Linked DNA regions of Macaca mulatta. The protein of the gene in region 3 interacts with the protein of the main gene of each other region in a pairwise test. Links are inferred from orthologs where the notes say so. Each region holds a gene or a part of one and is shown on either strand. Other genes may lie near its edges. The genes, in order: CUL3, KAT5, GMCL1, SHQ1, FOXR1, XAGE3 and APOL6.

Region 1 (3,820 bases), on a different chromosome or scaffold from region 3:
TGAGGCAGGAAAATGGCATGAACCCGGGAGGCAGAGCTTGCAATGAGCTGAGATCGCGCCACTGCAGTCCAGCCTGGGTGACAGAGCAAGACTCCATCTCAAAAAAAAAGATACCATTTGAACTTAATTTCATAACGCTATCTGCATCTAATAACAATCCAATTTATCCTCCATTCACAGTGAGAAAACTGTTTTTCGTTTTCTGATTTATGAGAATTTGGCTTCATAATGGTGAAGTTGCCTCTGATATGTTCTCAACAAGAGCAACTTTTTTCCAAGAGCGGGGTCTACCACAATTAAGATCTTTTGCCACTAGGTTTCTAGTGGAAGCTCAGAAAAATTAAAGACAACAGTTCCCCCTTTTTTTCTTAAGACAGCATCTCCCTCTGCAACCCAGGCTGGAGTGCAGTGGCATGATCTTGGCTCACTGCAGCCTTGACCTCCCTGGCCGGATTCAAATGATCCTCTCACCTCAGCCTCCCAAGTGTCTGGAACTATAGGCATGTGCCATCACGCCCAGCTAATTTTTGTGTTTTTCATAGAGACAGGGTATCACCAATTTGAACTCCTGAGCTCAAGCGATCCACCCACTTCAGCCTCCCAAAAGTACTGAGATTACAGGCGTTTGCCACACTGCCCGGACAAAAACAGGATTTTAAAATTTAATTTAGAATCACAGATAGCTACTGTGTTGTTGGAAACCTAAGGTACTAAATAAAGGAGAACTCTGGTGAGTACTATTATGATATTCCTTCATTCACGTTAAGTGCCTGCAATGATAGGCACACCTGACACCTTTTACATATATCTCCACACAAGTTACAGAGATGCTGTAATTCAGGTATGCCCAACAACCTCTCCATCAAACATTTCCTAGCCCCTCATCTCCAGCCCATTTAATCATCCCTCCCTACATGCCCCTAAGGTAGGTAAGAAAGCATTCACTCAATACCTAAACAGTACATTACATAATTTATCGATACTCATTTTGTTTAAGCAGGGCAAATGCTTTGCATGAAGTCCTAGTCTACCAGAGACCATTTAGAGAAGGGTCATCAAATTAGAACCCGTGGGGCAAATAAGCCTGCCACCTATTTATGTACATACAGCTCATGAACTAAGGATGGTTTTCACATTTTTAATCGCTGAGGAAAAACTGTAAAGGATACTATTTAGTGACGCATAAAAATTATATGAAATTTAAGTTTCAGGGCCCATAAATAAAGTCTTATAGAAACACAGGCTTATTCATTTGTTATTGTCTATGACTATTTTCTCACTATGACTGCATGGCTCACAAGCCATTTTATTCAACAAGAACAAAAAAGGCTTGCCAACCCCAGACTTAGACCTTAATTTTAGCAAACACGGCAAACATACTAGATGACTTGTTTTTTTTTTTTTTTTTTTTTTTTGCTTTTACAAAAAAAGGTTTAACAGAATAGTCTTTTAAAAAGGAAGTCTCTCTAGTTTTTTTTTTTTTTTTTAAATTATGTATCACTTTTCAGGGATTTATCATATATACAAAAATTTAACAATTTTAAAACACAAGGTAAGGATTCCACTAGAGAGAAACGTGGCTCAACTTCCCACCAGCTTTCTTTTTCCCTTCTCTTGTATCCTCCTGCTCTTCATAATTCTCTGTTAAAAAACTTTTTTTCATTCCCTACATAGCTCATGACCCCAAGAGGCAATATGTATTTCTTTTACTAAAAAGAAGTGGATAAAATATCGCTCAGATTTCATCTACGAAGCAGGAGAACAAGGGACCATGTTTTTTTATTTTCTAATACCATATCACTGATAAAGGCAAAGTTTTAAATCAAAGCATCAGAAACTAAGAATAGAAGATATGGTTATTGTTCTTTTAACTTGTAATTTCTTCTAGGATACTTGTCACAATTTTTTTTTTACCCCAGGGAAATAAAGATAAATAGCTACAAAAAATAAATGTTAGTTATCTCAATAGTGTTTTCTACTTTTATGCACTCCTCCTTCCTCCTTTTCCATTCTGTAACTTCAGTGTTCCCCAAACCAATCTAATTTATCTAAGTGTATCAATATGGAAGACATAAATATTTTTGCATTTTTGGCACCCTATCACAACTAAATCCCAAAGGAAAGTCTACAAAAATCTAAGGTGGAAATTTAAGATTTTAAGAGAATCACAAAACCCCAAGAGTATGTAGGAATAAAGACAGCCCACATCCTTTGGTATACGACAAGTACAGGAATGAATGAGGAGCTCATTGGGCTCACCTACTGTTACACTTTTTATCTTCTGGATTAAGAAAAACATAAAATGAGACTTAAAGACAGGAAATGCTCAATTCATTAGAAATATCTAAAATCTTCATTGGTAAGACAGTATCAAGCTTGGAAATCCCACCCAGGTTAACAGCGGAGACAAATTAACAATATACACAACTTCTTGAAAACTGATACCTGCTTTAAATGTAGGAAAGTTTTAAAAATATCGATAAGGCAGAATAAGGATTTAATTATTTTTCAATCGGTAACACTTACCTTCTGTCTTTCCATTTTTCAACATATGTACTAGCCCAGAATTCTCCATTTCTACTATAGTCTTCATGTGCTTGGAAATGAGTTCCCTCTCAACTACCTTCACAATTGGTTCTTCCGTTGATTTGTCAAGGCAGTGCATCACTCGTTCTATCTCTTCATTAATTCTAGCTTCTACTTTCTTTATATATACTGAAGCACTATTTTCTGCTAAAAATTTCTGGCTTTCCATCTGCAATTTAAAAATGTAATTTTTTTAATATAGAAGAAAAAGGTGTTTTTGCTCTTAGCTGGGGTTTCTATAGTGTTTATAATAAATCAACCTAAGTAAAATAAGTACTAATAGGATTTTGTGTAATCTCTCATTACAAAGATTGATATAGTCTGAATTATATCCTTTAAAGCCTTTGGTGTTTACATAATACTAAATTAAAACATTTCCTGTAAACAATGTTTTTCAAACTGTGCCAATGCACTCCAAAAAATAGCCAAAAAAGTAAATATATATGCCAGCGAGGGTCAAAAATATAGAAGCATCTGACTCCAAGATAGAGTGGGATGTTCTTTTTAGATTTGTCTGAATGCAAAATTATAACCAGAAAGATTCATCATGTTTATCATACGCTTTGCTGGCATACTGCTGGTTACTAAAGTCTTCCTGCCATCCCACTCCCAGTCTCAACGGAGTAAACATATACACTAACGTTTGAGAAAAAGAGTTTTTAAATAACTAATAATCTTTTTATTTATTTATTTATTTATTTTGAGGTGGAGGAGTCTTGCTCTGCCACCCAGGCTTGAGTGCAGTGGCGCGATCTCAGCTCACTGCAAGCTCCGCCTCGGCATTCTTCGGCCTTAGCCTCCCGAGTAGCTGGGACTACAGGTGCCTGCCACCACGCCCCGCTAATTTTTTGTATTTTTAGTAGAGATGGGGTTTCACCGTGTTAGCCAGGATGGTCTTGATCTCCTGACATTGTGATCTGCCCGCCTCGGCCTCCCAAAGTGCTGGGGTTACAGGCGTGAGCCACCGCGCCCGGCCAACATTTTAGCTTCTTACTAATACATCTGTTTTGGCAACACTACAAAATTCCTACTGTTATGGAATGTTATGTTATGCTACGTTATGTTATGCTCAGATAGTTATGGTATTCAGGAAAAATGCCTGGTTACAGTTACCTTACAAATACTATCTTATGCTTACTGGTACTCAGTTATTATTATCATCATTTCATTACAAATTAGTACCAGTTTAGCTTTACTTTTAGCAATTTAGTTGGTTTGGACCACTGTTGCAAAT
Region 2 (3,800 bases), on a different chromosome or scaffold from region 3:
TTGCGGGATTCCGGGACTGACGACCAAGAAGAGTCGCCGCTGGAACGGGACTTTGTGAGCAAAGGGATAGGGTTGAAAGGGGGTGCGGGCGGGACCTGTAGTCCCGATGCTGAGCCAGGCCCCTTCCTCAGGACCGCTTCATTGGAGCCACTGCCAGCTTCAGCCACTTCACCTTGTGGGGTCTGGAGACCATCCCTGGCCCGGATGCCAAAGTGCGTGGGGCCCTAACTTGGCCCAGTCTTGCGGCAGCGGTGAGTAGATGAGGAGTTCCGTCTTGTCCCCGGGTGGATGGGCTGTGGAGCACAATTGGGCAGACGAAGCCTGGAGGATTCTACTGGGTAGTGCGTGGGAAGCGTAGCTCCCCGACCACTCTTCCTAGCCATGTCTAGAAGGGGTTATTCTGAACAGCTGGGTCCTTCCCCGGGTCTGGGGGCCAGCCTGCCGCCCTGCCTTACAAGTCCAACAGTAGAGGCGACTCCTCTTGCAGATTCACGCACAGGTGCCCGAGGACTGAGAACCAGAGCTTGAAATTCAAAGCTGCGATCCCTTCACAGCAGTAAACCAGCTCTTTGGAACCACTGATTCCATCACCCCAATAAAGGAGCTCTTTACAGCACCTGTGAGTCCGGGCACCTTAGAGCCCCTAAGCCAGCATGGACCCCTCTCCCCCAAGAACCTTGCATGGCTCTGGCATATAGAAACAATTTATTGCCGTGGGCAATGGGGATAAGAGAAGCCAGAATTTTTTGCAGCCAGCACCCACCCCACCCCCAACTTCTACTTTACAAAAGAAATTTTTACAACCACCAGCCCTCTGTACAGAGCTCCCCCACCCCCCATCTCACTGTACACAGCTGCCTGGCTCCCTCTGATCCCTGGTTCAGAGCAGGCCTGGGCCTGTGGCCAGCTGACCTTGGAGTTAGCCTGAGCCCTGAGCTCGCCTTGGTGCCGGGCACCAATGGGCCCTGCCAGGCCTGTCCCCTCCTTTTCGAGCTTTTCAGCCCCATCTCCCTTAGAGTGCTTTGTGGGAGCTGCAGTGAGGGCGGGGTGGGCTATCAGCCCCAGTCCTGCTGTCTTAGCACTGCAGTGGGCAGTGCCTGGTCACCACTTCCCCCTCTTGCTCCAGTCCTTGGGAGTGAAGTGCAGACACTTGGAGTCAATCCGCAGGAGCCGCTTGAGCATAGCCCGCTCATGGCCATCCACGATGTCCTCTGACAGTGTGAGGATGTACTGGCCCTGGGCAGAGGAGATGGGTTCAGCAAGTGGCCAGCGGACAGGGGCCTGCACTCTGCATCCCACACACCTGTCTCCACCCTGCCTGCCTCCCTACCTTGTAGTAGTTGATGAGATTGAGGTACTGCAGAGTGGAGATGACATCCTCCTTCTTGATGCTGGTGATTTCACTGATCTCACTGTAGGAGAGCAAAGGTCAGGTCCCCTGAGGACCTTCATCTGTCCCCAGGAGCCCCAGGAGAGAGTGAGAAAGCCCAGGAACAGACAGGCCATGCCATGTACCCCCAGGTAGGCAGCGCCAGGCTCACTTGATGGTGATCTGTGGCCTCTCCCCGCTCTCTGACTTCAGCCCCATCAGGATCTCCAGGATGGTCTGGGACCAGTAACTTCGATAGGATAGGAGGCCAAGGTCTGAGAGGGGCTTCTCAGGGGTCCCTGTTTTCCCTTCCACTTTGGAGAGTTCATAGCCTAAAGCAATGGAGCAGGAGAGGGTGAGTAAGAGGTCATAGATGAACATAAGCAACATTTAAAAACACAGGTCGCCAAGGCAGGCTGCCTAGTTCCCATCATGGCCCTGCCACTTGGCAGTTCTGTGGCCTCCGCCTCTCTGCGCCTCAGTTCCCTCAGGAAGAACTAACGAGTATTCACTCTTCCCCTGGGAGTTGAGCACAGTGGAGGGCATGAGAGCACTGAGAGGAGCAGCTGCAGTCAACCACGAGGGTGATCAGAGGCCAGTGAAGGCTTATGGGCAGGGGATGCAGGGAAAATGGCTCAGGGGAAGAAAGTGCCTCCAATTTTCCTTTGCCATCCCAGGCTCCATGTCTGGGCATGTAAGGAAGGAAGTGGGGACAGATTCCTGTCTCTAATCCAGGCCTGAGAATGCTTGAATTCTCAGTCAAATCAGTCCTCCTAGCTGGGATCTTGGGAGTGTCAGCTGCTGTTAAGACCTGAGTGGCCTGACTGGGTGGTTGTGAGGATGCAAGGAGAAAAGGTGCACCAAAGTGCTTCCCAAGTTGGGGAGACCATTCCTGAGAGCCAGGTGACTGACCCCCACCATGGCTGTTTCCCTCCAACTCCTGCTGATAGCTGCGCACTGGGAGGCAGTCCCCAGTGAGATCCTGGCCCTGCACAGCCCTGAGTGGCTTCACATCTCTTGGGCAGTGTCTTCATTCTCCCCACCAGGGACCTGGGATGTTTGTGACTTCTAGAAGCCCTTCCTCACCCTCACAATGGACCTTAGCCCCTTGGTAGTCCCACCCACATCCCATCTCCATTGCAGTCTGAGCTCCAAGACTGAGTTTCTTCAAGCATCCACTTGTGCTACCAGGCTGAGAAGTTCTGAGGATGTGACCCCATCTGGGCATCACTTAACCAATACATTTCTCGAATGGACCATAACCTTGATCAAGTAAAGCCTCTGTGTCTTCACCAGGCAAACAGCTAGAACTTCCTCTTCTTTTCTCAGGTCAGAGCTTAGTTATTCCAAGTGAGTGGTGAGATAGAATGCGGGGTGATGGGGAAGAGGCTGAGAAGGAGAAGGAGCCTCAGGGTTGGGGAGGGCACTGAAGAGCTCATGTGTGATGAAGGTCAGAGTCCCTTCTGGCTTTAAGAGACTGACCTCACTGGACACGAGGAGCAAGGGAGAATTCCATGCTTACGTGTATCTGTTGACAGCATTTTGGACACCTGCCTGCACGGCTCAGGCGACAACTGGGGACATTAACCACTGGTCCTTGCCCAAGGACTTGTATCATGTGACACCGGTTACCAGATACATGAGCACCAGCGGCTCACTAACCTGCCCATGGCTCCAGGCAGGAGCATGTAAGTCAGATTTGGGGAAAGCTGAGTGGCACTTAGAACCCTGGCCAAGGAGCAAACTGTGGGGCTGAGAACCTACCCCAGATAAGCAGGGCAGTCAGCCTGAATGGAGAGAACTCTGGGAGAGTGCCACTGTTATTTCTGGCTGGCTCCCCTAGAGACCGGGCTGCACAGCCACGGTTGAGAATCACGGTAGCCTGGCACATCTGCCTATGGGGCACCGATGATGGGTGCACTACCCCCTGGCTGCAGCACACATACTCACTGAACTCGATCAGCAGCTTGCCGTAGCCCCGGCGCTGGTAGGGAGGCAGGGTTAGGATGCAGGCCACATTGTAGTCTTCTGTCGATTCTTTCTCCTGGAAAAGGGGGGCAGGTGAGTGTCAGGGAAGGGACCTGGCTCAGGATAGGGCACAGGGACAGCCTGGACAGGCACTGACCTTGGAGAAGTAGCCCACGATGTGGAAGCCCTTACAGTCATACTCCGTCATGACGTAGAAGAGGAAAGGGTCTGTGTCATAGTACAGTGTCTTATGGTCAAGGAAACACTTGGCCAAAAGACACAGGTTCTGGGAATAACTCTGCAAGAGAAAAGGCTTGTCACCATTCTGGGTATCCTGCCTTGAGCCTGGCCAGTGGTTCAGGGTCAACCAGGAGCTTCACTGTTTGTGCTATGCCCCAGACTGATAGGTGATGAGTATTCTTCCCTGGCTGGGCCTGACCCACTCCACTAGCCCGCAGCTTAC
Region 3 (3,820 bases):
CTTAGTCCCATTACTATAAATAAGTTCCCTGACAGCAAGAGACCATGACAAAATCATCTCTGCATCCTTCACAGCCACAAACAGAGTATCTTTACATAATGAACAGTTAGGAAGTACTTGCTGCAGGAATAAATGGATAATATGCGTACTTAATCCAAAAAGCCAAACTAAGCTGGGTGCAGTGGTATGTGCCTATAATCCCTGCTACTTGGAGGCTGAGGTGGGAGGACTGCTTGAGCCCAGGAGTTTGAGTCTAGCCTGGGCAACATAGCAAGGCCCCCATCTCTTTAATAAAGAAAGACTGCTATATAGCTTGGGTGGTGGGCAGTCCTCATTGTCACCGCCATATATCTTGTAGGTTTTTAGAACCCTGGAATCCATTTCTCATGGGTGACTGCGGTCCTATTATTCCAGCTTGGACTACATGGTCCACAGGTGACAGAGAAATCTTGGCCCTCTGGCTCCATCTCCAGGACCTCTGGCTCTGCGCTGTGCTGTGTGCGACCGGGTCCCGCTTGAAGATGAAGGCAGTGCATTTGACTGTGGGAGCCTCTGCAGCCCCAGCCTGAAGCCTGCATGGGACCCTGTGTGGTGCTAACAGTTTTTTTTAAAGGAAGACTGCTATTTTCTCAAAGAGAGGGGACGTCACTATCTTGCCCAGGATGATCTCGAACTCCTAGATTCAAGCAATCCTCCCAACTTGGCCTCCCAAAGTGCTGGGATTACAGGTCTAGGTTTTCCTAAATCTGCTTTTCTGGTAGAGAAACCCTGAGGACTGATTGGCTTTTGATTGTCTAAAACCATGGCCTGCGAATTCGTAACATTCAGGGACATGGCCATAGACTTCTCTCATCAGGAGTGGGAATACCTTGACCTGGTTCAGAAGACCTTGTACCAGGAGGTGACAGTGAAGAACTATGGTAACTTGGTCTCAATGGGGTCTCACTCACACTGAGGCTGGAGTGCAGTGTCGCAATCACAGCTCACTGCAACCTTGACCTCCATGGCTCAAGCAATCCTCCTGCCTCAGCCTCCAGAGTAGCTGGGATTACAGATTTGAATTCAAGGAGTGAAATAATCAGAGACGGAAAAATGTACATTTATAGGAGCCACACATTTGTTACGCCACATCAGAGAATTCATTCTAGTGAGAAAACCGATCAACATGAAAAGTTTTTGAAGGTTAAAAAAAAAAAAAAAGGCCAAAACAGTTTCTTCAAACTTATTTCTCAATAATAAAGATGATTTTTAAAATATACCTTTTAAATTCTCTAAAAGTCTGGCAAAACCTGAAACTTTTCTATAGTCTTATAACAGTAATGCATTTTTCTATTAAAATTGGTTAAAACGGTAGACATAATATCCATTATATTATTCACAACAAAGAAATAAGTTTGTGTAGCATTTCTTCAGCTTATGGATGTAGTCAAGCCCTTTCATTAAATTGTTTGCTTTTTCATATTTTTGTGTTCTACAAAAATGTTACGTACTTTAACAAATGATAAACAATATTTTAGGATGACTAATTATAAAGTTACTTGAAATTCAAATACCTGAGTTCTTTAAAAAGTTCAACATTCTGGTGAGTCATCAAATTGTTTAGAAGCCATTCAAGGCACCTGAAATTAAAACATATAATTATTACATTATATACCATGTATTTACAATTTATTAAGTAGGACTTATAGTTAAAATCAGAATATTAATCTTGCCAGAACATGCTCAAAACTTTTAACTTAACAATAGGAAATTTAGTATTATTTTTGTCAGTGGATATTATTAAGAGAATATTTCCTTTATATTAATGAGAGCATTTCTAGTTTTAAAACTTCATTTTGAGTTTGTGTTAAATAGTTTATCAAGGGGTCTGCATAGTACTATAACCTTTAAAATCTCAAAACAGGTACTGCAACTTTCAAGAGTTAGAAGGACTGTCAGTCATTGCAATGATATAATGTCTATCAGGCCTACTTCTTAAACAATTTTAATAGAAAATATACTATAAAGTGCAGTGGCATGATCACAGCTCACTGCAGTCTTGAACCTCCTGGGCTCAAAGAATCCTCTGACCTCAGCCTCCAGAATGGCTGGGACCACAGGTGCATGCCACCATGCCTGGCTAATTTTTTAAATTTTTTGTAGAGATGGGGTCTCCCTATGTTGCTCAGGCTGGTCATGATCTCCTGGGCTTAAGTGATCCTTCTGCCTTGGCCTCCCAAATCACTGGGATTACAGGTGTTAGCTACTACACCTGACCAAGAGTGACCAAGATTTTTATAAGCATATATATAACCCATATGGTCACTGACAAAGACAATACTTTTGAGGAATTTACTAATTAGTCCAAAAGTTAAAATGGGCTTTTTATTTAACAAAATTCCATTCCCCTATCCTAATTTTCCTTAATTCTTTCCTTCTTATAGCTATACATTCTCTTAAGAAACTAAAGCAACCAAATTCCTAAAGTGGGATAGGAAGAAAAATGAGAAAGGTAACTCACTTTTTCTTTACAGAATCTAATCCATAGGTCCCTGCTGATGTGTAATAGCCACATACAGTTTTCACATTAATTGTTTCCTTCATTGTCTCACCACACTGCTGTATTAAACCGTCCTGTAAATATAAATAAGCACTGGAAAGGCCCATTTCACGTGGGAAAAATTAGCTCTGATATGTGCTTTTACATATTAAAAAGGAAAAAAAAAAAGAAGAAAGAAAAGAAAGAAAACTCATTAAGTGCAGCAAACCTAAGTTTTGTGTTTTTTTTTAAACAAGTCCAATAAAAATACTGAAAAAAAATTCAGCAAGTATTCAACTAAATACTTGGAATTTGAAAATGGAAGGTGGGGGGAGCAGTCAGGTAGAGATGAATACTGCTATTCTTTTTCTTTTCTATTCTTCCCTCTCTGAGACCTTTGCAAATTTCTTTAGCAGCATTTTGTCTGTTTTGCCATTTCTTTTTAAATTAAGAAGTCTACATAGTCAGTTAACCATGTCATGGGCCTAAACAAATAGTATGCATTAGCAGAAAGTAATTATTAAGTTTAAAATAACTACAATATCTAAGAGACACACCTAAAACAAGTATATTGTTATTTTAAATTATGAACATTAAAGTTTTAACCTAAAATGTTTATATAGGTTTTAAGCGAACTAACTTTAATATATGGAAAGAATACTATTTTTCGTTCAAATTTCTGAAATATATTCATCATGCAGGTATATTAAGTTAAAGAGTTAGTAAATCATAAAAGTAACGCAGAAAGTGAATTTAGAACAAAATCAAAAGGACCAGAGTTAGAAAATAAAGTATACTTATTGGAAATAAGTATTGAAAGGATCAAAACATTTTGAAAATCAAATGATCTCAACCAAGGATATTTAGCAAGCTATTAACTAATATTTCAAATGAATCAGTACAAAAATACCACACAAAAGTTAAACAATTTTTTAAGATTAAAATAAAACATTGACTCCATTAGGATTTTCAACTTACCTGGAAATCATTCTAGACTCCTCCCCTTTCCTCTTAACACTTAGTCTGTCACCAAGTCCAGTGGATTATCCCTGAATCTCTCTGCTATCTACTTTTTCCTCTCCAAGCTTATTGCTACTACCCTACTTTCCTCCCTTGCACGACTGCAATAGGTTTTGTCTCTAATGCTGTATTCATCATTCCTTCAATTCATCTTTCACATTGTTACGGAAGTATTCTTTCTAAAACATAACTTCGTCTTTCCCCTGATTAAAATATTCCAAAGGTGCTGTGTACGCTAAACTCAGCAATGTGTAACGGTATTTTCATGATCTGGCTTCTGCC
Region 4 (3,820 bases), on a different chromosome or scaffold from region 3:
GGAAAAGAATCTTCGGCTGGGCGCAGTGGCTCACACCTGTAATCCCAGCACTTTGGGAGGCCGAGGCTGGTGGATCACGAGGTCAGGAGATCAAGACCATCTTGGCTAACATGGTGAAACCCTGTCTCTACTAAAAATACAAAAAAATTAGCTGGGCTTGGTGGTACGTACCTGTAGTCCCAGCTATTCGGGAGGCTGAGGCAGGAGAATTGCTTGAACCCGGGAGGTGGAGGTTGCAGTGAGCCGAAATCGCGCCACTGTACTCCAGCCTGGCGACAGAGTGAGACTCTGTCTCAAAAAAATCTTCTGAAATAATATGAAATGGTTTAAGAAAAAGTACTCCATGCTGCTGATATTGCTTTTCCTCCTTGTACATTTTAAGATTGTGAACATTTATACATTTATATAGGTTTAAAAATAAAACAATGGCAGTGAAAAGGCTCCATCACACCATCATCCTGTGTCATCCCCCATATTTCCAGTTCCCATCCTATCTCCTTTACATAAGTTACTGTTTTCTGTCACTTTGGAGAGTTTATTGAGAAGTATACAAGCAAATAGAAACATCTGTTTTGATATCTTTCCTGTTATTTTCCCTTTTTATATATATGTAGCATATACATATGGTGAGCCTTTTGTGGTGTTAAGCAGTAAGTCTGGATTGGCCCATGGAGAGTTTCATTCATTATACAGCTGTAGGCTATTCCTTTGTGTGGATATGCCATAACTTATTTCACCAGTCAACCAGTCTTATAACAAGGACATTTGGTTGTTTCCAATTTTTAGGTATTAAAAAATGATGTCATAGTAAATAACCTCAGACCTATGTTATGTAGTGTGTGTGCTACATGTGTTTAATTTTTAGACATGGGGCTTGCTGGGTCCAGGGTATATACATTTTCCATTTTGAAAGTTATCGCCAAGTTCTCCTTCTTGGGGGTTGTAGCTATTTAATCTCCCTCCATCAGTATATGAAAGTGCCTTTTCTCCTGCAGTCTTGCTAACAGAATAATATCAAATGTTTGGGTATTTGCCAATCTGACATATAAAAAATATATCTCACATATGACTTTAATTTGTATTTCTCTTATTTGACTGGAGTTGAACATCTAATACATTTAAGAGTTACTTATATTTCCTTTTGTGAAAATTGTCTGCTTGTCCATTTTTCTGTTAGGTTGTTATATATCCATTATTAGGAACTCTGTTAGGAGAATTAGGGTTTATTAGTATATATATATATATATATATATATATGCACTTATTATAGATATATTACCCAGAAGGAATAGATTTTTTTCTTTTTCTTTTTGAGACGGAGTCTCGCTATGTTGCCTAGCTGGAGTGCAGTAGTGTGATCTTGGCTCACTACAACCTCCACCTCCTGAGTTCAAGTGATTCTTCTGCCTCAGCCCTCCAAGTAGCTGGGATTACAGGTGACTGCCACTGTGCACGGCTTTTTTTTTGTATTTTTAGTAGAGACAGGGTTTTACCATGTTGGCCAGGCTGGTCTTGAACTCCTGACCTCAGGTGATCCACCCACCTCAGCCTCCCAAAGTGCTGGGATTACAGGCGTGAGCCGCCACGCCTGGCCAAGAAATTGATTTTATTTAGTTGAATTTATCAGTCTTTTCTTTTGTGGCTTCTGAATTTTGAGTCATAGTTAGAAAAGCCTTCCTCCTTCTTAGGGTCATAAAGGAAATCTGTGTTTCCCTGTAATACTTTTAATCGCTTTTTAAAAAATATGTATATCTTGGATCTGTTTTTACATATATATCTTGGATCTGTTATGGTATATATCCTGGTGTGCCATTTAAAATATGGATTCAACTTTATTTTTTTGGAAGCTGCATACCCTGTTATCCTCAGGCCAATTAATAAATAATTCTAATCTTTGTTCTTAAAATGTTTTCAAGATCCAAAAAGTTGGCAGCTCTTGCAGAAGCCTTAAAGGAAGTCTCCCTTACAAAGGCCCAGCTGGGGTTAGAACTGGAAGAACTAGAAGCAGCAGCACTGCTTGTCCAGGAGGAGGAAACTGCATTAAAAGCAGCCCATTCAGTTTCTGGGCAGCAGACACTTTGCTCCAGCTCTGAGGCAAGTGATTCGGAGGACTCAGACAGCACCGTGTCATCTGGAAACGAAGACTCAGACTCAGATTCAGAACAAGATGAACTCAAAGACAGTCCATCTGAGACAGTCAATTCTTTGCAAGGTCCCTTTCTTGAAGAAAGCAGTGCCCTTCTTATTGTTGATGGTGGAGTATGCAAAAACACAGCCATCCAGGAGTCTGATGCCAATCAGGGAAAGCCCCTTGCCTCTTCCCAGCCTCTTGGAGTGTCTGGACCTCTGATAGAGGAGCTTGGGGAACAACTGAAGACCACAGTTCAGGTTTCTGAACCCAAGAGCACCACTGCTGTAAACCACAGCAATATGCAGGAGAGAGACGGCCGTCAGACACCAAATGATTGACTCTTAGGTGGTTTTATTTGTTGTTGAGAAATACGGTAGATTTGGTTTCATTTACCAAATGAGAATTCCTCATTTTCACTTTGTAGTTTTTCTTAGTATATAGACAGCCTGCTGTATTTGTATCCGCATCTGTGGATTCAACCAACTGCAGATCAAAAATATTTAAGAAAAAATTGCATCTGTACCAAACATGGAGACTTTTTTTCTTGTTATTATTCTCTAATACAGTATAACAACTATTTCCACAGCATTTACATTGTATGGGATCATATAAGGAATCTAGTGATGATCTAAAGTGTACGGGAGGATGTGGGTAGGTTATATGCAAATACTGCACCATTTTTTATCAGGGACTTGAGCATCTGATGATTTTGGTATCCTCAGGAGTCCTGGAACCAACCCCCCACAGAAACGGGGACAACTTTATGACTTTTTTTTCAATCAGTGAATGTGTATACCTTTTGTTTTCCTTGCTATCACTGTGAAGATAAAATTCAAAAGTATTTTTACCAAAGTGTAGCTAATATTTCAAGCTGAAAATAATAGTTCTACTGCCAGTGTCTCCAGAATGTAGAGCCCATCAATATTTTTATTTTAGGAAGTGTACTTGACACCCCATAAACTGCACGTATCGAAAGTGTACAGTGTGTTGGCATATGTGTACCCCACATAAAACTGTCACCGCGATTGAAGTGAGGAGCGGACCCATCATCCCCAAGTGCTCTTGGGCCCCCTTATTAGTTTGCATGTCCTAGAATTCTATGTAAATTGAATCATACAATATGTATCCCTTTTTTGGTCAGGCTTATTTTACTCGGTCTAGTTATTTTGAGATTCATCCATGTGGCAGCATGTGTCAAGAGTTTTTGTGTTTTTCATTGCTGAGTACTACTTCATTGAATAGATCTGTTCATTGACCTATCGATGGACGCCTCGGTTGTTTCCATTTTGGGGCTGTTATAAATAAAGCTGTTATGAACATTTGTATACAAGTCTTCATGTGGACGTATGCTTTCATTTCTCTTAGGCAAATACCTGAGGGCGGAATGACCGAGCCATATGGTAGGTATGTGTTTAGTGTTTTAAGAAAACGCTGAACTGTTATGCAGCATGGCTGTACCATTTTACATTCCCACCAAAAGTGATAGTTTATGAGAGTTCCAATCTATGAGAGTTCCAGCCTATGAGAGTTCCAATCTTGCACATGCTTGTTACTGATATGGTGAGTCTTTTAAACTTTTACCATTTTTATAGATGTGTAGTGGTGTTTCATTGTGGAAGTGTCTGTTCAAATCTTTTGCCTCTGTGTGTGTGTATATGTTTGCCTGTGTGTGTGTGTGCGTATGTTTGA
Region 5 (4,272 bases), on a different chromosome or scaffold from region 3:
GTGGCCCGTGCCTGTGGTTGCAGCTACTTTGGGGACTGAGGCGGAAGCACTGCTTGAGCCTGGAGGTAATTGTGCCACCGCACTCCAGCCTGAGCAAGAGCAAGAGCCCATCTCAAACAAAACCTTAAAACCAACCCTCATCTGACTCAAAGTCAACCCTAAAGTCCTTAGAGGACAGGCATTCCTGCTCTCAACCACACCCTTCGGAGCTCTTTATTTACTGTCATTCAGCCTTACTGACCTCCTTACCACTTTCCCTTCAAGTACCCTCTAGGCTCACTCCTCCCCTCCTATCAACTCTTTGCTCAAATATTATGTTCCTAATTGAGTTCAACCCCACAATCTTATTTAAAACTGTAGCTGCCGCTGGGCGTGGTGGCTCACACCTGTAATCCCAGCACTTTGGGAGGCCGAGGCAAGCAGATCACTTGAGGCCAGGAGTTTGAGACCAGCCTGGTCAAGATGGTGAAACTCTGTCTCTACTAAAAATACAAAAATTAGGTGGGCATGGTGATGCATGCCTGTAATCCCAGCTACTGGTGAGGCTGAGGCACAAGAATTGCTTGAACCTGGGTGGCAGAGGGTACAGTGAGCTGAGATTGCGCTACTGTACTCCAGCCTGGGCGACAGAGTGAGACTCCATGTCAAAAAAAAAAAAAAAAGGCCGGGTGCCGTGGCTCACACCTGTAATCCCAGCACTTTGGGAGGCTGAGACGGCGGATCACGGTCAGGAGTTCGAGACCAGCCTGGCCAACAGAGTGAAACCCCATCTCTACTAAAAATACAAAAATTAACCGGGCATGGGGGCACGTGCCTGTAGTCCCAGCTACTCAGGAGGCTGACGCAGAATTCCTTGAACCCGGGAGGCAGAGGTTGTGGTGAACCGAGACTGCACCACTGAACTCCAGCCTGGGCAACAGGGCCAGGCGCCATCTCAAAAAACAAAAATAAACAAAAACAAACTGTAGCTGCTACCATACGCTTCCCCTATTCCTGAGTCTCCTCCTGTTCTTTCCCCATTGCAGATGATCACTTTATAGCATACTATATGGTCTACCCATTTATTATACTTATGTGGATTATCTATCTGCCCCCAGTAGAATGTAAGGTTCCTTGTCTGTTCTGTTCACTGTGTATCATGAGTTTCTAGAACAGTGCCAGGTCAGTTGGAGGTGCTCAATACATATTTCTTTTTTTTTTTTTTTTTTTTTTTTTGAGGCGGAGTCTTCACTCTGTCGCCCAGGCTGGAGTGCAGTGGCACCATCTCGGCTCACTGCAAGCTCCGCCTCCCGGGTTCGCGCCATTCTCCTGCCTCAGCCTCCCGAGTAGCTGGGACTACAGGCGCCCGCCACCGCGCCCGGCTAATTTTTTTTTGTATTTTAGTAGAGACGGGGTTTCACCGTGTTAGCCAGGATGGTCTCGATCTCCTGACCTCGTGATCCGCCCGCCTCGGCCTCCCAAAGTGCAGGGATTACAGGCGTGAGCCACCGCGCCCGGCCTCAATACATATTTCTTGAATGAAGAAACAAGAAAGAATGTTCATTACCATTAATTATGGTGGCAAAGAGTTGGAAGCAATCTAGGTGTAAAGAAAATTAAAATGTAAAAGGTGGGACACCCAGCAGATAGAATAGTAACAACAATCAGAAATAATGAACCAGGCCTGAATTTAGCAACGCAAAACAACAGCTCTCAAAAACAATGAGTGGAGAAAACAGACGTTAAATGGATTAGGGTTGGTTATGGGAGTAGCGGAGGTAATGGAAGGAGGGGTGGAGACTTAAGGGGCAAAAGGAAGAGTTAAGGCCGGGGGCGATGGCTCAGGCCTGTAATCCCAGCACTTCTGGAAGGCCGACAAGAGCAACGTGGTGAAACTCCGCCTCTGCTAAAAATAAAAAAACTAACAGGGCGTGGTGGCGCACGCCTGCAATCCAGGCTACTCAGGAAGCTGAGGCGGGAGAATAGCTTAAATGCGGGAGGCGGAGGCTGCAGTGAGCTGACACTCTAGCCTGGGAGACAGAGCAAGACTCCGTCTCAAAAACAATAAATTTGGAGAAAAAAAAAAGTTAATCCAAGGGCCTTGCAGGCAAAAAGGTACCATGAATGTGGGGAGTAATTACCTCAACTCTCCACACTTGAGGTCCAAAGAAGAAAAAGAAAACCTAAAAGATCACAACGGTCAACCAAGCATTTGGCAAGTACGGAGCACTTCTAGGTGTCAGACAATATGTTAAGAGGGAGAATACAGCCATGGATAAAACGATGAGTCCTGTTTTTTTAAGAGACGGAAAAGTAACTGAAATATACAGTATAGCAAATGGCGACCAGCGCCAAGACGAAGACCCAGAAGAGGCCTTGGAATGTTCTGGGAGCCTGGCGGGTGACGTAGAGTGGAAAGCCTCCGTTTTTAGGTAAGACCAGCTGCCCTCGGGGAGCTTCCAATTGAGTCAGAGTCAGGCGCGAACCGCCCCCGCCCCACCACTCCCGAGTGGAGTTCGCCAGTAGGGGTGGAGTGGGGGCTGCGGAGCTAAGCCCGGGGGGCTCGGCCCCCGCAAGCCTCCCCGGGAGGCGGGGGCGAAGGCTGGGGAGCCGCCCGGCCCCGGGGTCCCGCGAGCCCCTAGGCCACCCCGCCGCCACGCCCAGCCCCCACCTCACCCCACCCGCTACTCACGTTTCTGCTCGGCTAAGGAGAGGTGAGATGTGGTGAAGGCCAGAAAGAGCTCGTTCCCCATGTCCCAGTCCAGCAGTCCCGGGACCTGGCCATGGAGGCTGGCCCAGAAGTCGAGGTGCTGGAGCTTCACGTCCACCTTCGGGGCGGGCAGAGGCGCGGCGGCGCGGAGTGGGAGCGCGGCGGCTGAGGAGCGACCTTCACAGGCGCCTTCTCAAATGCGCCGGCTGCGATTGAGTTAGCTTGGCGGCAGCTCAGGTGTGGAGCGGTCCATTTGACGCCTTTAATCTCCTCAGGACGGCGCCGAGGAACGCTTAGGAAGACCCTCCTTGACCCTACCCTTACATGCTGGGGGTCGAGGACCTGGGGATCCGGAAGGGACCCCAGACCATCTTCCGCATCCTCGTTTGCCCAAGCCCCTTATTTCATTGAAAAGGCGCCATGGTCACGTGATCGTATTTATTTATTTTTATAGTTTTGCTTTAACATTGATCCTTTCTACCATAATTGTAGTTACTTTCTAAAAGTTATGAAAGGTTTATGGCTTATCCACGATCACATCTGTAGTAGATGGTGGAGATGGAGTTAGATTGGATGGTGATTTGATGAAAAAATTTTTTGTTGTTTTTCGGCCGGACGCGGTGGTTCACGCCTGTAATCCAGCCCTTTGGGAGGCCGAGGTGGGCGGATCACCTGAGGTCAGAAGTTTGAGACCAGCCTGGCCAATGGTGAGACCCCGTTTCTACTAAAAATACAAAAATTAGCCGTGCGTGGTGGCTCAAGCCTGTAACCCAGCTACCAGGGAGGCTGACGCAGGAGAATCGCTTGAACCCAGGAGGTGGAGGTTGCAGTGAGCCGAGATGGTGCCACTGCACTCCAGCCTAGGGGACAATAAAATTAAAATAAAAATTTTGTTTTTAATGATTTCAGATTTGCAGAAAAATCCCAAGAATGCTATAAAAAATTCCTGTATACGTTTTCACCCAGATTCACCAATTACACCAATTATTAACATTTTATCACATTTATATTTTTATTTCCATATATACTACATATATATTATGTTTTGCTTAACAATTTGAGAGTAATTTGCAGACATCGTGTCCCTTTACCTATAAATATTTCTGTTATTTCCTAAAAACAAGGATATTGTTTTATCCAGAAAATCAGAAATCAGAAAATTTAAGATTGATTCAATGTTTTATTTAATATATGGTTCTTATTCAAATTTTACCAATTGTCCCAACAATGTCATTTATATAAATTTTTTTTCTGGCCTAGAATCCCTTTCAGCACTATGCAATACACTCAATATCCGTGTCTGTTTACTCTCCATTAATCTGGAACAATTTCTTTTTTTTTTTTTTAAGCCAAATTTAGCAATAGGGGCTTGTATACCAACTTTAGTGACACTAATGTTATTAATAATAAGTTCTGATAACCCACTACCATCAGACCAGCCATCTTTACTCTTTTTTTTTTTTGAAATGGGATTTCACTTTGTCACCCAGGCTGGAGTGCAGTGGTGCAATCAGCTCACTCTAGCCTCGACTTCCCAGGCTCCAGCAATCCTCCCACCTCAGCCTCCCTGGTAGCTGAGACCA
Region 6 (4,407 bases), on a different chromosome or scaffold from region 3:
TTTACCAAACATACTGTCAAAAATACAGAGCAAAGGAAAGAGTGGCTGTCATTCATTGAGATCTTTTCTGGAGTTGCTATCCTGCTTCACTGAACTTTGTTTTGTCCTGAGCCAATACTGAAGTACCTTACAGTACAGACACATTCGAGTATTAACATTTCAAGCAAAATCATTCACGTGTTCTAATGTGAATGGTAGGGAGAACATAAACGTTGGAATGAAATATGAATTCCTTCTCCATGAGTCAAGTGTTCTTGGTAAGCCTCCATTTCAGAGCCTCAGTTTTCTTCTTTACAAAATAGGGCTAACATCCTTATACAAATGGGCTTTATTCAGGGTGTTACAAGGTAGGGTGACTTGGCATTCTACATGCTATTAAAGGGTGCATACAATACTGTGGACCCCTCGGCTAAGAAGATCAGACAACATTCTAAGAAGATCAAAGTAAACTAGTGAAATAATGTACATTTTTGTACATCAAATTAAACAGTTTCATCTGATTTAGCAAGGACTGTATTTTCAAGCATACAATATATATATATATATGTGTGTGTGTATATATATATATATATATATATATATATTTTTTTTTTTTTGAGATGGAGTCTTGCTCTGTCACCCAGGCTGGAGTGCAGTGGCCGGATCTCAGCTCACTGCAAGCTCCGCCTCCCGGGTTCACGCCATTCTCCTGCCTCAGCCTCCCAAGTAGCTGGGACTATAGGCACCCGCCACCTCACCCAGCTAGTTTTTTGTATTTTTTAGTAGAGACGGGGTTTCACCGTGTTAGCCAGGATGGTCTCGATCTCCTGATCTCGTGATCCGCCCGTCTTGGCCTCCCAAAGTGCTGGGATTACAGGCTTGAGCCACCGCGCCCGGCCCAAAATATATTTTAAAGGTAGGAGAAGATTCATTATATCCAGGGACTCTATGAAGCTGCAAACTATACTCTTCACTTGTCCAGCCAACTCTCAGCAAATGTTTGAGATCCTTTCCCAATGTTTTCTTTCCTCCTGTTACTGGTCATGGCATAAGGCATGATGCACACATAGGCCTCCTTCCCTCCCCATAGACATTCTTTCTTTCCCCTCCCAGTACCTTGAATCTCAGCTGCACCCTGATCTTCTTCTCTCTCCTGACCAGGTGTAGAATCCTGACTTTCGGTTAGTGGTTCCGCTTGCTGAGGCTCCGCATCACTGGGCTCCTGGAACGAGGGGTGTGTGTGTGTGTGTGTGTGTGCAGATAAAAAGTTTTGTTATCAATACATTTCAATAATATAAACATACAGAATACATAGATGTTTCTGATCATAAGTCTAAAGACATTTCTCCAACACTATTCCACATACTTATTTTTCATAAAGTTACTCTTCCCACAGAGAGGTTACTCTAAGACAGTTGCCCTCAAGGGCTTTGGAAGCTGTTTTAATCTATGTTAGGATGAATGTGTGTAATCTTTTGCAAATAAGCATGAGAAGGAAATCATGGGCAAAATCTGGGGAACACAAGATCATCCACCCAGACAACAGGAGAACTTACTCCTCTTGGATTCGTCTTTCCTTCATGAGATGCCATGAATTTTTTTTTTTTTTTTTTTTTTTTTTTTGTAGACGGAGTCTCCCTCTGTCGCCCAGGCTGGAGTGCAGTGGCCGGATCTCAGCTCACTGCAAGCTCTGCCTCCTCGGTTCACGCCATTCTCCTGCCTCAGCCTCGCAAGTAGCTGGGTTTACAGGCGCCCGCCACCTCGCCCGGCTAATTTTTTTTTTTTTTTTGTATTTTTAGTAGAGACGGGATTTCACCGTGTTAGCCAGGGTGGTCTCGATCTCCTGACCTCGTGATCTGCCCGTCTCGGCCTCCCAAAGTGCTGGGATTACAGGCTTGAGCCACCGCGCCAGGCCCCCATGATAATTTCTATCAGCATGGGACACCTTTATTGGTGTATCTATATTGGTTCAACAACAATTACAAAACAGTTTTGCAACAACAACAAGTTACAAAAATAACTTTCTGCTAATAGAAAACATCAAAGGTTAAGGCACTCACCTGCATAGGCCCAATCAGCTCAGGAGGTGGTACACTTCTCCTTGGTCTAGGCCTATATGTTGATCTTCCTCGCCAAATCATATTTCACACTGCAAGCAGAATACTGTGAATTGGTAAATGTACTTGAAAAGACAGCTATATTTGACCACTTCCATGACCAAATGTTAACTTGTCGTTTTTTAAAAGTTTGTAAATACTTTCGAACTAAGTCTCAGGGCAAGTGTAAGTGTGTGTGCCTTATGAATGCTTGCGAAGCCATTAAGTTGGTCAAGCTAACTGAGCAATTTCTTAAGGCTCCTGGCAAAAGACACAGGATATTTCCGATAAGGTTTGGTTTCACAACTTAACTCTCCTCTGTGGAGACATTTGGGAAAATACAGCCAGAGAATTAAAACTGCAGTAACTACGGCTTTTGTCACACACCCATTTGCTAGGCCCATTTCCCCCCTAAAATCAAGTTTTGTTGGAACGCAGAGCCCCACCAACTCAAACCTCCACGGTGGAGTTGAGAAGCTGCCACACAGCGCTGGGCCCTCCTCACTGTACACCTCTGCCAGGCGCTCTACAGACCTCAGGGCCATGGTCGCCAACCCGCAGCGTTCCCAGTTCCCTTCCTTAATGCCCACCCTGCTCCTTCCCGGGTCGACACAAAGGAGCCTGGAATCTGTCCTCGGTCGAGGGTTCCAGGGACTCGGATACCTGCCCCAGCACCCCCAGCACTCGCCCCATTTTCACCTGACCCCTCTCAACTGTGCGGCCCACCTTCTTCCCTCATTCTGACCTCACTACAACAAGGCCCACGGCAGTGCCACCTCACGAGCAGAAGGACGAGCACCTTGAGACCCTTCGACCTCTGAGGCCGTGGACCACGCTGTCCCACGCTCCAGATAGCCACTGGCTCCTCCTCACACTCACTCACACTTCAACTCTTGGGAGGAATGGCTTGTGGACCTACCGGCTGCGTCTCAGTAGGACAGAAAAAGTCCAGACAGCAGGAACGCGACCCTCACACTCTCACAGCTCCAGGGCGTTCACCACATGGGCAAAGGTGCAGAGGGGAAGACGCCCAGTGGACATGCGCAGTGAGGAAGGTGCCTGCCTAGTGGGCTGTGGCGCCCCTCCTCGCCCCACCCCATCCCGCGCCGCGCAGTCCTCTGCCCTCTCCCAGGTTCCCACTGAAGACTTCGGAATGTGTCTTCTGTGGGCGGTTTCATATGCCTCCGGGACTCAAATACCACAAATAGTTTCCCCCTTCAAAGCTCACTCCATGTTCACTAGGTCCTCCTCCCCTCTATGGCCCTCCTTCCTCCCCTGTCTGGGACACCCACGATACCAAGGCCATGGCTGTGTCGCCGCCTGTTAGGAGAAGAATGGCAACCTCAAGGACCTTCCCCAATCGGAGGACATAGACTGCGCCGCGGGCTCCTCCTCACACTCTCTCCCACTTCCACCCTGGGAGGACTGATCTTCGGACCTACCGGCTGACTCCTAGTCAGCAGCACAGAAGGAAGTCACGATGTCTCCTTGCACAGCTCTGCAGGGACACAAGGCAGACAGCAAGGCACATGGACAACAAGGGACTTGGGCAGCAAGGGGTGTGCATACTGAGTCAAGCACATGCAAGGCCAGCCGGGGTTTTCTCACTGTCCCCAGACTCACATCCCTAAGATGTTTGTAGTAGAAGGAAAGGGACTAAGAGGCTTTGTTCCCTCTCTTGCCCTACAATTCTTATGCATCCAGAAACACTGGGGACAGTCCCATGTCACCATGAGTGGAGGATGTGTCTCAGAAAGACCTTTTGTGACAAATAAATTATTTATATATATATACACGCTTTTTTTTATTTATATATGCACGGGTGCCTGCCATGTTGCAGGAAATATCTGGGATGCTGGAAATGTGAAGACCAAGGAGCCACACGTGGTATGTCCCATGGAGGCCACCACACTGTAGTGGGGCAGACAGACAGTTAAACAGAAGAGCAGTTGAACTGCAAAGGAGAAACATGGGGAACGGACCCACGGTAGTAAAGAACAATGAATGTAGTGGCCAAGAAGCAAGGGGGAAAACAACACAGTTTCTCAGGAAGATAATATTTCTCCATTGCCTTTGCACCTTTTTTGAAAATAAGTTTATCATGTCTGTGAACCTATTTCCGGACTCCATTCTGGTCTGTTGATTTTTCCCCAGTACCACGTTCTGGTTACTATAGAATTAACATGACTCTTGATATTAGGTAGTGTGAGTTCCCCAAAGTTATAGTTCAGAATCGTTTTGGCTGTTCTGGTTCATTTTCCTTTCTATATAATTTTGAAAAATGACTCCAATGAAGTGGGTTGTATAAGTTCACGCAGTTTCACTTTGAAGG
Region 7 (4,590 bases), on a different chromosome or scaffold from region 3:
TGCTCTCGTTGCCCAGGCTGGCGTACAATGGCGTGATCTTGGCTCATTGCAACCTCTACCTCCCAGATTCAAGCGATTCTCCTGCCTCAGCCTCCCAAGTAGCTGGGATTACAGGCATGTGGTAACACGCCTGGCTAATTTTTGTATTTTTAGTAGAGATGGGTTTCACCATGTTGGCCAGGCTGGTCTTGAACTCCTGACCTCAGGTGATCCACCTGCCTCAGCCTCCCAAAGTGCTGGGATTACAGGAGTGAACCACCATGCCCAGCCTGGGACACAAATTCTTATAGCCATTCATTTTCTAATTGTTTAAATGAATACAAGTTTACGGTTGAAAATTTAGAAATAAATTATAAAATCCACCTGTACACTCACCACATGGAAATAAAAACTAGTGACATTTTATTTTACAAACCCAAAATTTAAATGAATGCTGTTCAGGTAGCTTGTGTGAATTCTTGTCACTTAACATTGTATCGTTGGGGCTGGGCGCGGTGGCTCAAGCCTGTAATCCCAGCACTTTGGGAGGCCGAAACGGGTGGATCACGAGGTCAGTAGATCAAGACCATCCTGGCTAACACAGTGAAACCCCGTCTGTACGAAAAAATACAAAAAACTAGCTGGGCGAGGTGGTGGGCGCCTGTAGTCCCAGCTACTCGGAAGGCTGAAGCAGGAGAATGGCATGAACCCTGGAGGCGGAGCTTGCGTGAGCTGAGATCCGGCCACTGCACTCCAGCCTGGGCCACAGAGCAAGACTCCGTCTCAAAAAAAAAAAACAAAAAAACAAAACATTGTATGGTAGTAGTTCCCCAGGTGATATATAGAAACCGTGTCACATTTCATTATACCAATGTATCACTACACATTCAGTAACTTTCTCACTGTTGAAACTTTGGGTTGTTTTCAGTTATTTTTAAATTTTGTATTTATAATTTTTGGTTAAAATCCTTATATAGATGTGTGTCTACATGTTTGGTTATTTCTTTGGGGCAGTCTATGAAAAAGAATTAATGTGTCAAAGATAAAAACGTTCTCCCCTCTCTGGTATGTGAAGCTTGGTTTGATTTGAGGGGCTTGGCACCTTTAAGGACTTACTTTCGCCAGACATACATCTACCTGCTTTACAGTGACCCTGTGAAATCGATGCCAAGATTATGCCCATTTTACAGATGTGCAAACTGAGACATAGGGAGGCCAGTGTTACACAGTAAGCAGGAGAGCCTGTACGATTCCAGCCACGCTGAGTCTGGAGTGGTTGGTCCCAGTCAGGGCACATTTGCTCCCCAGGGACGTTGCTAATATCTGGAGACATTTTTGATGGTCTCAACTGGAGAGGGTATGTAGTGGGCAGACGCCAGGGATGCTGCCAAGCACCCTACAATGCACAGGACGGCCCCCACAACCAGGGATCACCTGGTTAAACATGACAAGGGTGCCGGGGGTGAGAGACCCTGGTCTGGAACCCCATTTTTCACCAGAGTCCCCCAGTACCTCTCCTATTTTTTTTTACATTAGTTCTATGGGATGCAGGGCAAAGGTAACAGCAGGAAACTCGTCTGAGCAGATCCCATTCCCTCCCCTCTGACCTGCTCTCGGTGGTTGTGAGATGAGAGTTGTATTGGGAGAGGATTTGAGACATTATTTTCATTTTAAAGCTTATAGGATATTTATGACAGTCTTTCCTTACCTGCCTTCCCCCACAAAACCAACTTCTTCAGATACACAATCTAAGTAAGAAAAGTCTGCTTACTTTGAAAACACAGCTTCAAGATAATCTCCCAATTTTTTTTTTTTTTTTTTTTTGGAGACAGGGTCTCACTCTGCTGCCCAGGCTGGAGTGCAGTGGTGTGATCACTGCTCACTGCATTCTTGATTTTCTGGGTTCAAGTAATCCTTCCACCTCAGCACCCCCCATCCACCCAGTAGCTGGGACTACAGGTGTGCACCATCACGCCCAGCTAATTTTTGACTTTTTTAGAGACAGGATCTCACTATGTTGCCCACGCTGGTCTCAAACTCTTGGGCTCAAACAAGACACTTGCCTTAGCCTCCCAAAGTGCTGGGATTACAGGCATGAGCCACTGCGCCTGGCCTAGTCACCCTAATATTTATCACAAACTCCCTCACCCTCTTCCTAAACAACTTCACATAAACCTACAATCTAGAAAACTCGGTAGGTTGGCTTTGCAGTTTCCGGACAACTCACCCAGCACCCTTTTTCTTGTGAAATGACACCCCTAAACCACTCCTATACTGAATTTCTAGAGAAACCCCTGTGGCGGCTGATGTAATCACCTGCTTTCTTTTTTTTTTTTTTTTTTGCTCTGTCGTCCAGGCTAGAGAGCAGTGGCGCGATCTCGGCTCACTGCAAGCTCCGCCATTCTCCTGCCTCAGCCTCCCGAGTAGCTGGGACTACAGGCGCCCGCCACCACGCCTGGTTAATTTTTTGTATTTTTAGTAGAGACAGGATTTCACCGTGTTAGCCAGGATGGTCTCGATCTCCTGACCTCGTGATCCGCCCGCCTCGGCCTCCCAAAGTGCTGGGATTACAGGCGTGAGCCACCGCGCCCAGCTGAAATCACCTGCTTTCTAAGTGCCAGATCACCTCTGCTTAAGCCCTTGGATCCCCAGCAGTGGAGGGGCAAATGCAGCTTGGCTAGTCACATCACATGCTTTATCACGTTTTGATTTAACCCTCAAATGGCTGTAAGGGACAGAAACCTACCGGGTTTAACATAGGAGAAATTGATCCTCAGACTCTCCCCACGCTCTGGCTGGCATTTGAACCCCGCTGCTTGGACAGCAGCTCTTTTTCCTAAGTCAGGTGCCTAAAGCTAACCCCTTGGGGGCTTTGTCCTTCAGGGACTAGAGCAGCAGCCCCCTTCTCCCCCAACTTCTGCCTGCCATCTCACCTTCTCTCCACGGAGCTCTCCTTTGTGGCCTCGGGTCCCGAGGGAGAGGAAGATCCTGAACCTCTGTCCTTGACTCTCCGAGGCCCCCGGTCCTGCAGGAGGCTGTGAGCGTCTGGGCTGGAGAAAGACAGATAGGAAGAGTAGGGTGGCTTTTGAACGGGAATTGATTGCAAAACTGGTTTCTGTTAAGTGCTGCAGGAGAAAAAAAAGCCAAACTCTCGGGCTCTTCCAGGAAATCATGGGCTCCAGCTGTGCACTTTCATTTTCCTTTTTGCCTGTTTCTCTAACTGCATGCACAACGAGATGAAAGAGCAGAATCAAAGTCAGAAGGCCTGAGTCTCTCGTCTCTGTCCTGGCTGTGTTATAGGATGGACCTATATGGGGTATGAAAATAGCTCCTGTGGCTTAGAGCTATGGTGAGGAGCCCATGAGCAAGCGATGGGGCACCTGATGAATAGTGGATTCACAGTAGCGATCATCACTGATTGTTCTGAAACTGCTTCCCTCCACAGCATCTTGATGTGGATAACAGCCCTATGAGGTGCACGGCCGGCATTTAAGGGCTAATAACTCTGAAATGCAGAATCCTCTGAAAATGGAAACTTTTTTATTTTATTTTTTATTTTATTTTTGAGATGAAGTCTTGCTCTGTTGCCCAGGCTGGAGTGCAATGGCACGATCTCGGCTCACTGCAACCTCCGCCTCCTGGGTTCAAGCTATTCCCCTGTCTCAGCCTCCCCAGTAGCTGAGATTACCTGCGCCTGCCACCACGCCTGGCTAATTTTTGTATTTTTAGTAGAGATGGGGTTTTATGTTGGCCAGGCTGGTCTCAAACTCCTGACCTCAAGTGATCCACCCACCTCAGCCTCCCAAAGTGCTGGGATTATAGGTGTGAGCCACTGCACCCGGCCTGAAAACGAAAACTTAAAAAAAATAATAATTTATTCATTTAGTGACAAAACCTGAGCTGATCTGGCATGAATTCACTTATGGTTTTTATGTCTCTTCCTTAATTTGAATATTCACTGTCACTGTAAAAATATTAATATGTTTGACTGAGGAGGGCTGCTGGGGGTGGGTGGGTTACACAGTACGTGATACCTGCACCCCATTACCTTTCTAAAAATCACTTGGGGACTCTGACATGCATCTGGCCTCAAGGATTGGAGATACAGGATGTGATACTCTGTCTCCCACTTTAAGGAAGAGGAAACTCAGGCTTCTAGAAGTTGTGGGTTGTTAGTGATTACACAGCTAAGAACCAGTCCTAGGCGCTGTGTCTGCAAGAATGAGCCCACAGTGTGGTTACGGGCTGAGATCTGTGTCTCTCTAACATTTCTGTCACGTTGTGATCAGAAGTCACGTGGTTTGCAGAAATCCCCAGTCACCACCCCTAGCTGAGGCCACACTGGGTGCTGTTGCTTTGCAGAAGGCGTGGCCCACCTAGCCAGTCCTGCCTTTGCGACGATGGAGGCCACCTCCTGTCACTGGGCCCTACGAGCAGGAATGAGGGGTTAAGCGCTGCTGAGTTGGGTCCTGTAGGGGCCTTTCCAACCCTGGCATCCCAGATTCCACAAGCCAGCCCTGCTGTGGCCTCCCACACTTGGAGAACACTCTAAACACAGCGTGACCTTGAAGCGGACTTGGCTGCCTGGCTGGGGTCGCTGAGCCATCCCAG

Evidence for each region.
Region 1: the proteins of GMCL1 (region 3) and CUL3 interact in binary tests that used the Homo sapiens proteins (3 or more experiments, as listed by UniProt). The two-hybrid records come from large-scale screens. The link is inferred for Macaca mulatta from reciprocal best matches to the Homo sapiens genes GMCL1 and CUL3.
Region 2: the proteins of GMCL1 (region 3) and KAT5 interact in binary tests that used the Homo sapiens proteins (3 or more experiments, as listed by UniProt). The two-hybrid records come from large-scale screens. The link is inferred for Macaca mulatta from reciprocal best matches to the Homo sapiens genes GMCL1 and KAT5.
Region 4: the proteins of GMCL1 (region 3) and SHQ1 interact in binary tests that used the Homo sapiens proteins (3 or more experiments, as listed by UniProt). The two-hybrid records come from large-scale screens. The link is inferred for Macaca mulatta from reciprocal best matches to the Homo sapiens genes GMCL1 and SHQ1.
Region 5: the proteins of GMCL1 (region 3) and FOXR1 interact in binary tests that used the Homo sapiens proteins (3 or more experiments, as listed by UniProt). The two-hybrid records come from large-scale screens. The link is inferred for Macaca mulatta from reciprocal best matches to the Homo sapiens genes GMCL1 and FOXR1.
Region 6: the proteins of GMCL1 (region 3) and XAGE3 interact in binary tests that used the Homo sapiens proteins (3 or more experiments, as listed by UniProt). The two-hybrid records come from large-scale screens. The link is inferred for Macaca mulatta from reciprocal best matches to the Homo sapiens genes GMCL1 and XAGE3.
Region 7: the proteins of GMCL1 (region 3) and APOL6 interact in binary tests that used the Homo sapiens proteins (3 or more experiments, as listed by UniProt). The two-hybrid records come from large-scale screens. The link is inferred for Macaca mulatta from reciprocal best matches to the Homo sapiens genes GMCL1 and APOL6.

What each region holds. Positions count from the first base shown.
Region 1 is NC_133417.1:129,758,962-129,762,781, forward strand, and holds part of CUL3 (cullin-3), read right to left. Parts: intron 2,756-3,820; coding exon 2,527-2,755; intron 1-2,526. UniProt on the Homo sapiens protein: Core component of multiple cullin-RING-based BCR (BTB-CUL3-RBX1) E3 ubiquitin-protein ligase complexes which mediate the ubiquitination and subsequent proteasomal degradation of target proteins.
Region 2 is NC_133419.1:8,673,545-8,677,344, forward strand, and holds the end of KAT5 (histone acetyltransferase KAT5), read right to left. Parts: intron 3,636-3,800; coding exon 3,495-3,635; intron 3,414-3,494; coding exon 3,320-3,413; intron 2,671-3,319; exon of another isoform or gene 1,702-2,670; coding exon 1,542-1,701; exon of another isoform or gene 1,413-1,541; coding exon 1,331-1,412; exon of another isoform or gene 1,237-1,330; coding exon 1,102-1,236; 3' UTR 689-1,101; downstream 1-688. Other genes in the region: RNASEH2C (ribonuclease H2 subunit C), read left to right, coding at 1-54, 132-251, 488-514. UniProt on the Homo sapiens protein: Catalytic subunit of the NuA4 histone acetyltransferase complex, a multiprotein complex involved in transcriptional activation of select genes principally by acetylation of nucleosomal histones H2A and H4.
Region 3 is NC_133418.1:54,908,536-54,912,355, forward strand, and holds part of GMCL1 (germ cell-less protein-like 1), read right to left. Parts: intron 2,614-3,820; coding exon 2,501-2,613; intron 1,620-2,500; coding exon 1,554-1,619; intron 1-1,553. UniProt on the Homo sapiens protein: Possible function in spermatogenesis. Enhances the degradation of MDM2 and increases the amount of p53 probably by modulating the nucleocytoplasmic transport.
Region 4 is NC_133407.1:136,238,704-136,242,523, reverse strand, and holds the end of SHQ1 (protein SHQ1 homolog), read left to right. Parts: intron 1-1,916; coding exon 1,917-2,469; 3' UTR 2,470-3,461; downstream 3,462-3,820. UniProt on the Homo sapiens protein: Required for the quantitative accumulation of H/ACA ribonucleoproteins (RNPs), including telomerase, probably through the stabilization of DKC1, from the time of its synthesis until its association with NOP10, NHP2, and NAF1 at the nascent H/ACA RNA.
Region 5 is NC_133419.1:119,658,738-119,663,009, reverse strand, and holds the start of FOXR1 (forkhead box protein R1), read right to left. Parts: upstream 2,873-4,272; 5' UTR 2,733-2,872; coding exon 2,672-2,732; intron 1-2,671. UniProt on the Homo sapiens protein: Transcription factor which acts as both an activator and a repressor.
Region 6 is NC_133426.1:52,729,528-52,733,934, forward strand, and holds the start of XAGE3 (X antigen family member 3), read right to left. Parts: upstream 3,073-4,407; 5' UTR 2,995-3,072; intron 2,289-2,994; exon of another isoform or gene 2,237-2,288; intron 2,129-2,236; 5' UTR 2,121-2,128; coding exon 2,040-2,120; intron 1,202-2,039; coding exon 1,096-1,201; intron 1-1,095.
Region 7 is NC_133415.1:15,894,909-15,899,498, forward strand, and holds the start of APOL6 (apolipoprotein L6), read right to left. Parts: upstream 3,090-4,590; 5' UTR 2,913-3,089; intron 2,356-2,912; exon of another isoform or gene 2,070-2,355; intron 1-2,069. UniProt on the Homo sapiens protein: May affect the movement of lipids in the cytoplasm or allow the binding of lipids to organelles.